2 linked regions of the Arabidopsis thaliana genome follow. The protein of the gene in region 1 purifies or fractionates together with the protein of each later gene. This does not show direct contact. Each region holds a gene or a part of one and is shown on either strand. Other genes may lie near its edges. The genes, in order: MYB29 and NIG1.

Region 1 (4,658 bases):
AGTCTTTAAAACATAGTTTTCCTGCCCACATTTGAAAAGTAAAATAAAGATCCTCTTTTGTTATTTGAGGGTTGTCTTTTTTTTTTTTTTTTTTTTTGAATCAATGTAAAATTTATTCAAAAAAGTCCTTGGTTACAATATATGCAGCTTTAAGCATAACGTTTTTTTGAGTTTCAGAAAATTTTAAAACCAAGGAAAAACAGAGGTATAAAGGATTTCAAAACAGAGCCTTTGTTAGGCTCTCGAGTGGAACCAAACCCGGAGGGCGTCGGCCATGTTTGATGGTTGGAGCTGGTGAATGAAGGAGATTCTACGTACGCCACATAATTTTACCATTTTCAACGATTGCGTTGTTTCCCAAATTATGAATTGGAACTTTGGTAGCATCGCAATATATACGACGTTTGGGTTTGGCCCATGCTGCCATGCATAGCAATAGTTTTAAATACATGTGGTTGGTAATATAGAAAATGGTTTGAAAGACCACAAACTTTGATCAGTGATCGATTCGGTAGGGCCACAAATAACAATGTTTTCGCCACATGGTCATACTTTACGTTTTCGATGAGAAAATATTTAAACAGTTTGTTCGTCAAATTTCGATTAACTAGAACAAAATTCATAAACGAGAGAGACAGAATAATTCGAGAGAGCTAGAGTGAGGGTAACTAGAAAGATAGTAACTGATTTTGTATCTAATAATTAATTCATTAATTTAAAATCAATGATAAATCACTTTGATGGTTGTGGCCTTGTGGGTAATTATAATTAACACGTACCATTTTTTATCAAGGCATTTTTAAACATTTTGTTTGTTTTTATTGAAGTTTTCTTCTCACTATTCAAAAACGTAAAACCCTAACAAAAAAAAGTAAAAGTAGAACTGTTTACAAGTCTGGCTGAATGGGTTGATTGACTCGACAAAAGATTTTCCATGTGGATTAATAGAACAAATTTTAATAATATATACGAAATTGATGTATTTTCTTTTCTTTCGATCACTATTAATGTCTTAAATAATAAAAACATATAGTACATTTTACAGATTATAAATTTATGTTGTGTTTTATTTTGAGTTTTGGCTTGAATTTTTTTTTTTTTTTTGTTGTTGTTGTTAAAGTGGTTTGAATCTGTATTGGTTACAAATAAAACAAATAATGTTACGTTCATTTTGTCTGTAGATATTTTTCTTACAACTTATGCAGCTATCTTTGGGGTTTCATTTTGAGTGTGGATGTTTGGTTTTGAGTTAACTCTGCATGTTCCGAAGAGGCGTAACTAAAATAAAAGAAACTACTTGAGATGCGAGATGTGAAATGTGATTAGATGAGAAAAAACGAACATTAATAATTGAGCAAAATAACTTTATTTAAATTTTGAATTCAGCGTTAGTGTTACACCCAAAGTGGCAAACAAATAGGACCGATGTTGAAAAAGAACACACGTGATATAAAATGTACTGAGAGAAAATTATTTGCATTAGATGACAATAAATACAATAATAATGAATAGATGAAATAACTTTTAGTTGACGAAAAAAAAAAAAAACTTTTAATCTATTTTATTCACTAGATCAAAAAGCATGTTTCAGACAGTTTTATTCTTATCATTCAATTATTTCACAACGTATAATTTTAGTTTATTTTCGTAATTTGTTAATATACGTATCAATTGAATATTTTTGACGGTTTTTATTATGTCATTTAATTATTTAAGGGAACATAGTTTATTTTAAAATGCAGTTCTATTTTACAAAAAAAAAGAAAAAAAAAATTGCAGTTCTACGTTGACATCTAGCTGATCAACTATTCATCATATATACTTGTATAATCTATTATTTTAAGTTCTATATTATTATTAATATGTTAAATATAGATATATCTATTTAAGAAAATATCATATAAATATATGTTATAAATCTATATATAGAAAAAATAAAGCACAGAATTTTGTCCCACATTCTGTCGATACGTACTCGAGCTTATGAAGTTGTTCTTTTCTAATTATATTTTTTCCCATTGCCCTTTATCAAATCAACTCTAATAAAAATATATGGTAACTTATGAAGTTGTCATGTATTTATGATATTTCTCTTTGGGTCGGCACTGTATTTGTGATGTTGATTATTTATCTAGTGGCAGAAAATATTCCATAAGTCTCTCTCAAACCATTTGAATAGTTCCAAAAACATCTTGTCACTAACACTCACTCTTGATGAGTTTTTTTTTTTTTTTTTTGGGGGGTCAAAGTACTCTTGATGATGAGTTGATATTCTTATTTAAAAAAAGCTTATTACTTATTTAAGTTATTTCAAAAAGTACATTCTACACGAGTGCCAGGCTTATATATATGCATAAACATATATAATTATGCATGGAGGAGTAGTAGCTTGCAATGTCTTGAAACTTTGATATATCTTCTCCTAGTCTTTCTTTTAAATGTTTAATATGAAAACACAAAATCCTACAACGGTCGTCTACCACAGTTTCTCAGTCAGTTTCATATTCAGATGCATCAGAGTTCTCATCAAGAGATCTATCAGTCTATTGCCTTAAACTCGACGACATTCTGTTTTTTTTTTCTTTTCTTATTTTTTCTTTTTCTTATTTCTTACCTATAGGTTGTATGTAAATCTATATCAAAAAAAGAAGAAAAACAAGATGTCAAGAAAGCCATGTTGTGTGGGAGAAGGACTGAAGAAAGGAGCATGGACTGCCGAAGAAGACAAGAAACTCATCTCTTACATTCATGAACACGGTGAAGGAGGCTGGCGTGACATTCCCCAAAAAGCTGGTATATATGTGCTTTATTATTATGTATATATTTTAAAACACTTTTTACATATATATAACTATAATTGTTGTTTTTATGACAAATGATGGTGTTTAGGACTAAAACGATGTGGAAAGAGTTGTAGATTGCGATGGGCTAACTATTTGAAACCTGACATCAAGAGAGGAGAGTTTAGCTATGAGGAGGAACAGATTATCATCATGCTACACGCTTCTCGCGGCAACAAGTAAAATCCTAGCTTGCCGAAATCCATATAAATAAGGGTATATATAATTAACACATTATTAAAGTTTATATATATGTTTTACTTAAAAGGTGGTCAGTCATAGCGAGACATTTGCCCAAAAGAACAGATAACGAGATTAAGAACTACTGGAACACGCATCTCAAAAAGCTCCTGATCGATAAGGGAATCGATCCCGTGACCCACAAGCCACTTGCCTATGACTCAAACCCGGATGAGCAATCGCAATCGGGTTCCATCTCTCCAAAGTCTCTTCCTCCTTCAAGCTCCAAAAATGTACCGGAGATAACCAGCAGTGACGAGACACCGAAATATGATGCTTCCTTGAGCTCCAAGAAACGTTGTTTTAAGAGATCGAGTTCTACATCAAAACTGTTAAACAAAGTTGCAGCTAGGGCTTCTTCCATGGGAACTATACTAGGCGCCTCCATCGAAGGAACCTTGATCAGCTCTACACCGTTGTCTTCATGTCTAAATGATGACTTTTCTGAAACAAGTCAATTTCAGATGGAAGAATTTGATCCATTCTATCAGTCATCTGAACACATAATTGATCATATGAAAGAAGATATCAGCATCAACAATTCCGAATACGATTTCTCGCAGTTTCTCGAGCAGTTTAGTAACAACGAAGGGGAAGAAGCTGACAATACTGGAGGAGGATATAACCAAGATCTTCTTATGTCTGATGTCTCATCAACAAGCGTTGATGAAGACGAGATGATGCAAAACATAACTGGTTGGTCAAATTATCTCCTTGACCATTCCGATTTCAATTATGACACGAGCCAAGATTACGACGACAAGAACTTCATATGATCCGTTGATTGCTTACCGGACTAGAGTTGACCGGTTAATGTCATATGGTTCTCTTAGATATTTGTCAAGTTATAGTAAAGGTCCACTATAGGGTCACTATATATTAATATTCAGTAATGGATTCTCTTAGTTAGAGAACCTTGTGATGCCGTGGATCAATTAGTATTTGATTTGCGGGAGACACGAGTTTTTTTTCCTTCTATTGTTGTTTGTGGATTTACGTACTATAAATAATAAATAAAACACCCATTTGATTGCAAGCGTTCACTGTACTAAAACCATTTGATTTAAAGTTTGAGCCTTAGTTTGTCTGACAGTCTGAGCCATGTTACCAAAAACAATGAAAAATATGTAACACATTTTAGGTTTTTGGTGATATGAAACTCCGAAGAAACAAATCCCTACTGACTACTGAGAAAGTCGATAAGCTTTTTTGTGGATAAGTTTCATGGATATATTAGAAGTAGTAACCATTAACCAACAAAAAAATAGCTTAAGTGAGTTATCAAGGGATCGATGAACAATTATGAGATCCAATGTGTTTTTGTTAAGAGGCAAAATCCGATGCAGTCTCTATGAGACAAAATTTCCATGGGAAAAACAGAGAGTTCTGAAGTCTCTCTACCTTAAACATGTGCAAGCCTTAGCTTCAAATGCTCCGTAAGGTTTTCATTTAAAAACATGAAATAAGATAGAGAAATGATACTTGATCCAACTGATGAAGATTAACAAGATAATTTTGAAGCAACTTCTGTTTGTATAATATGTCGTACAAAATCTGCTACCAATTTAGAGGCCAAAT
Region 2 (4,159 bases), about 17 Mb from region 1:
AAACAAAAGGATAGCAAGAAATGTATTGTCTTACTCACCCACTTAAATTGGGATAGAAAAAATCTAAATTTTTTGATCTTCTTCAACATTTCATTCCAAAAACCCTAATTTTATCTATTAAAGGGTGTGTTTTAAAAAAGGAAAGTTGAAGATTTTTTTAAAAAGATTTTCTTCTAATTTTTATTTTGGTAGTCAAAATAAAATAATTTTAATAAAAACAACCTATCAACAAAAAATAATTTTTATTCAAATCAAATATACCATGTCAATTATAAATTAATTGAGATGGTAAGAGTAAAACTAGAATTTTGCTTTTGTTATTAGATCTTGAGTAAAATTGTAGAAATTAAATTATATGTTTTAATTAAACTATGTATATTTTCCTTCCAACCAAAAAAGTTTGGATATTAAACGTGCAATAATCTTTTTTTGGATTTTTCTCAAAAATATATTCAACCCAAATTTTTACCATTTGGGCTGAAAGTGCAAAATATAAATATTCATCTTTTTCATGTTAGTAAGATGAACAAACAAGAGGAAACAAAAAAAAAAAGAATTCAAGCACCATTTGTGTTTGTGTTCATCTCGTTCATTCCAGGGTTGACCATTTGCAATAAGTCCCCCTAATTTTGGGTCACAAGATTAGAACTGTATATTATCCAAAATCTAATAAAACGGCCATTAACTTATGAGAAAATCAACAAAACTTAATTACACTTTGACCCCATGATTAATTTTCTCAAAACACACCGCAGAAACTCTCAGCTAATTTTCGACATCAACAAATCCCTAAGCTCTTCCTGCTTGTAGATTCTCAACCCCATCTTCACGTTCGCTTGTTGTATCATAAGATCGTTCATCACAGAAATGCTCGCATGATTCACTTCTAACTCCAAATCCATCAAAGCATTCATCAATCTCGCTCCTGGATGATGATCCTTCCTTGATTCAACTCTAACCATTGCATCATCACTTTCCATAATCTTCACTTCGATCTTCATCATCTCTGATGCCTTTTCCTCGTATTTACAAACGCTAGGAATTGCGTTTCGTTGTCCTGCAATCTCCTTGAGTTCATTGAACTGAATCTCAATCGCATGTTTCTCCAATTCAACGTTTTCAGCTTTTGATTTCAGCTCGTTTATGTAACAAACCGCGTCTTCGAGCAACGACGTTTTGTCCATTTTCGATACGTTTGGTACAACCGCTCGTAATGCGTAGAATCTGTGGTTTAGCTTCTCACGTCTCATCCTCTCTGCTTCCACGTGGTTCAAAGGCTTGTCTCTACCATGCGCCGGTTTTCTCCCGCGCTTTTTTCCCTTCTTCTTCTCCAGCATCACCGTCGCGTGAGGGACGACGTTTTGAATCTGATCAGAATAAGTATTAGGGTTCCGATTTTCAAAACTCTGTTTAACATTCTCGCCAAAACTCAGTACATCGCCGCATGGAGCTCTCGCCAATGTGGAAGATGACGTCGAGAAGTTCAAATTATACCGGTTCTGTAGATAAACCGGACTAGGATTCGGGTTACCGGTTACAGTACTTGAACAACTGCTCTCTAACTGAAATGGGAAAAGCTCCGAGTTCGAATTCGGGGCTCCAGAAAAATATTTGGATCCTCCAAAAAGAAACCGGATCCTATTAAAAAGATCCGAATTTGGTCGGATCTCCTCCGTGGATGCAAGCTCCAACACTCCGTTATGTGAAGGAATACACAAGATGGTCTGTAACCCTACATCCCCTCCTTGTTTAGCCCGATCACAACCCGACCCGTAAATCAGATCCGAACCGGTAACCAAAACCGGGTTATAGCTAGCAAACGCCTTACCCGCTAACCCGGATCCGTTACCAAAACTCCACGTCATGGAAACCAAGAAGAACCACTCCATATCCGTCACTTCCACGTCATCGTCATCACTGACGTCGTCTTCAACCACCGGAAACGCTTCGCCGGAGATCATCAAGTTAAGCTCCCGAATAACATTACTCCGACGCTCTTTCTCCTCCGGAGACGACAGAATCGTCTTCTTCCTCCTCAACCTCCCTCGTGTCTTTTCCTCGTTGCCACCAGTGTAAACTCCGTCGCCCCATTTGAGAACTGCTTCACCGGAAAAGTCATCGTACGACGGTTTCCAGAAAATGGCGTAACTCCAGGGCTCGTGGGTTCCATTCAACACAGCATGTAAACGCTTCGGGAGAGTAGTCTCGAGGCTGAGATTCGCCGGAAGTAATGGTGGCGACGGATCGGAGGTCAAGAGAGCTTCGATCATCAATAAGTTATCGTCGGTATTAATCATCGTTGCCGGAGTATTAGAAGTCGTCTCAAGTCTTTGTATTTATATATCTAAACTAAACGAGAAACTATAGAGTATAGAGTGTACTCTTTATTTTGTTTCACACGAGTGCATGAAAATATTACATTTTTCTGTGGTTTTCTTTTCATGAATTTTAACGACCCATGTGCGATAGCTGATGTATCACTATCACCTATCACCAGGTAAAAGGACCACATTTTTCTAGGTAACGGGATTGTTTCGTCGTTGAACAAAATGGATTGAATGAAACACGATTATATGTCGGGAAATTTGCAAAATTGACTAACAAAAAAACTATAATTAAGAAACTAACCAACAACAAAAACAGAGATGATATTTTGTATATAAACTATAATATATACTAAAGTACTCTTATCTACACAATCACCATCTTTTTTATGCTATTACAACCATTACCCTTGCAACCGTCATCATCATCGCATCCACCATTATTTCCACAAATGTCATACCATCATCACCATCACCACTGCAATCGTCACCACCATAGAAACTACCATTACGCTGTCATCTCAACCACCATCACCATTATTGCCGCCGCAATTGACACACGACCACTGCAACCACCAACACAAATATTACTACGACCTACACCATACACACCACCACCACCTTAATCACTTCTTCCTCTCTTCCATTGCTTGTTTCACTTCTCTCGCCTCTTATCTTTTTTTTCTACTTTAACTTAATTAAAACAGAACCGAACTATAGTTTTCTATTTTACTTTCAATTTTGTACCATTCTATTTGCTAGTTAGAACGGAAAAAAATGAAAACGAAGACTCACAAGATCTTATTGAATATTTTCTGGTTTGATCAATATCTAAAATTGAAAATCCCTAACACAAATTTAAACCCAAAATCGAATCGATTTCAATTCGCTTTAGGAAAGGAGAAAAGAGATTAAAAGTATATAAACATGATTTTGTCAGATTTCTAAAAACTGATTCTTGAGATGATTTCATTTAGTTTAATTATTTTTGTTTGGGTTCCATATATAGTATCTTAGGGTTTAGTTTTCTTAAATCAATAGATGTTTTTAAATTAGAATGGATTGATATAAAAAAGTTAAATTTTCTGGAAATTTTTTGTTGGATTGGAGAGAAGAGAAGAAGCAACAAAGAAGATGATGAATGAAAAAGGTCTGTTAAAAAAACATTACCTTTAGATCAATATCTGATTCACAATCCATTACCTTTAGAACATATGGAATATTACCTTTAGATCAATATCTGATCAACAAAACGAAGAAGATGATGAGTCATGGCAAATTGGAAAATAGGGAAATAATGCAGGGATAGACTTGTAATTAGTTAGAGTTTTTGGTTACTTGCTGAATTACGTAAATTATATGGCTATATTCTTAATTTTTGTTCAATTATGGCTATACACCTAGTTCACCCATATATGTTATCACTCTTTCAAAAAAAAAAAAAAAAAAAAAAAATTATCACTCTTTCTTCTTCTTCTTCTTTTTTCTTTTGTTATCACTCTTTAATTCTATATGGATCAGGTTAACAAAACAATGTCAATGGACTTTGTTGCACTGCACTTCCTCATTTTTTTCATTATTACCTATACATTTTGATACTAATATACTCAAAAGTCAAATAACCAATGTTCGATTTCTCCCTTTTAACAATTGGGTTTAACCAAAGTAACGTAAAGAGGCAAAGTTAGCAATGCAATCCTTTAATCTCGCACCCCATCATGATGATTTTAAATAGACATTTTAGTTTTTATGTGTAATGGTGAAGCTTAACATTGATTCTGTGTTTCTATATTTTTTAATGGAGTTATTTTGTAAAATTTAAATAATGACGCAAT

The links.
Region 2: the proteins of MYB29 (region 1) and NIG1 purify together in Arabidopsis thaliana (affinity purification with a luminescence readout, with the first as the bait; one study listed by BioGRID). This does not show direct contact.

The regions. Positions count from the first base shown.
Region 1 is NC_003076.8:2,444,430-2,449,087, forward strand, and holds MYB29 (myb domain protein 29), read left to right. Parts: upstream 1-2,239; 5' UTR 2,240-2,660; coding exon 2,661-2,793; intron 2,794-2,889; coding exon 2,890-3,019; intron 3,020-3,108; coding exon 3,109-3,856; 3' UTR 3,857-4,155; downstream 4,156-4,658. UniProt on the Arabidopsis thaliana protein: Plays a minor rheostat role in aliphatic glucosinolates (GLSs) biosynthesis, mostly short chained. Together with MYB28/HAG1 and MYB76/HAG2, promotes aliphatic glucosinolate biosynthesis but represses indolic glucosinolate biosynthesis.
Region 2 is NC_003076.8:19,000,857-19,005,015, reverse strand, and holds NIG1 (calcium-binding transcription factor NIG1), read right to left. Parts: upstream 2,453-4,159; 5' UTR 2,298-2,452; coding exon 762-2,297; 3' UTR 632-761; downstream 1-631. Other genes in the region: AT5G46825 (uncharacterized protein), read right to left, coding at 2,517-2,597, 2,733-2,802, 2,837-2,890, 2,955-2,971.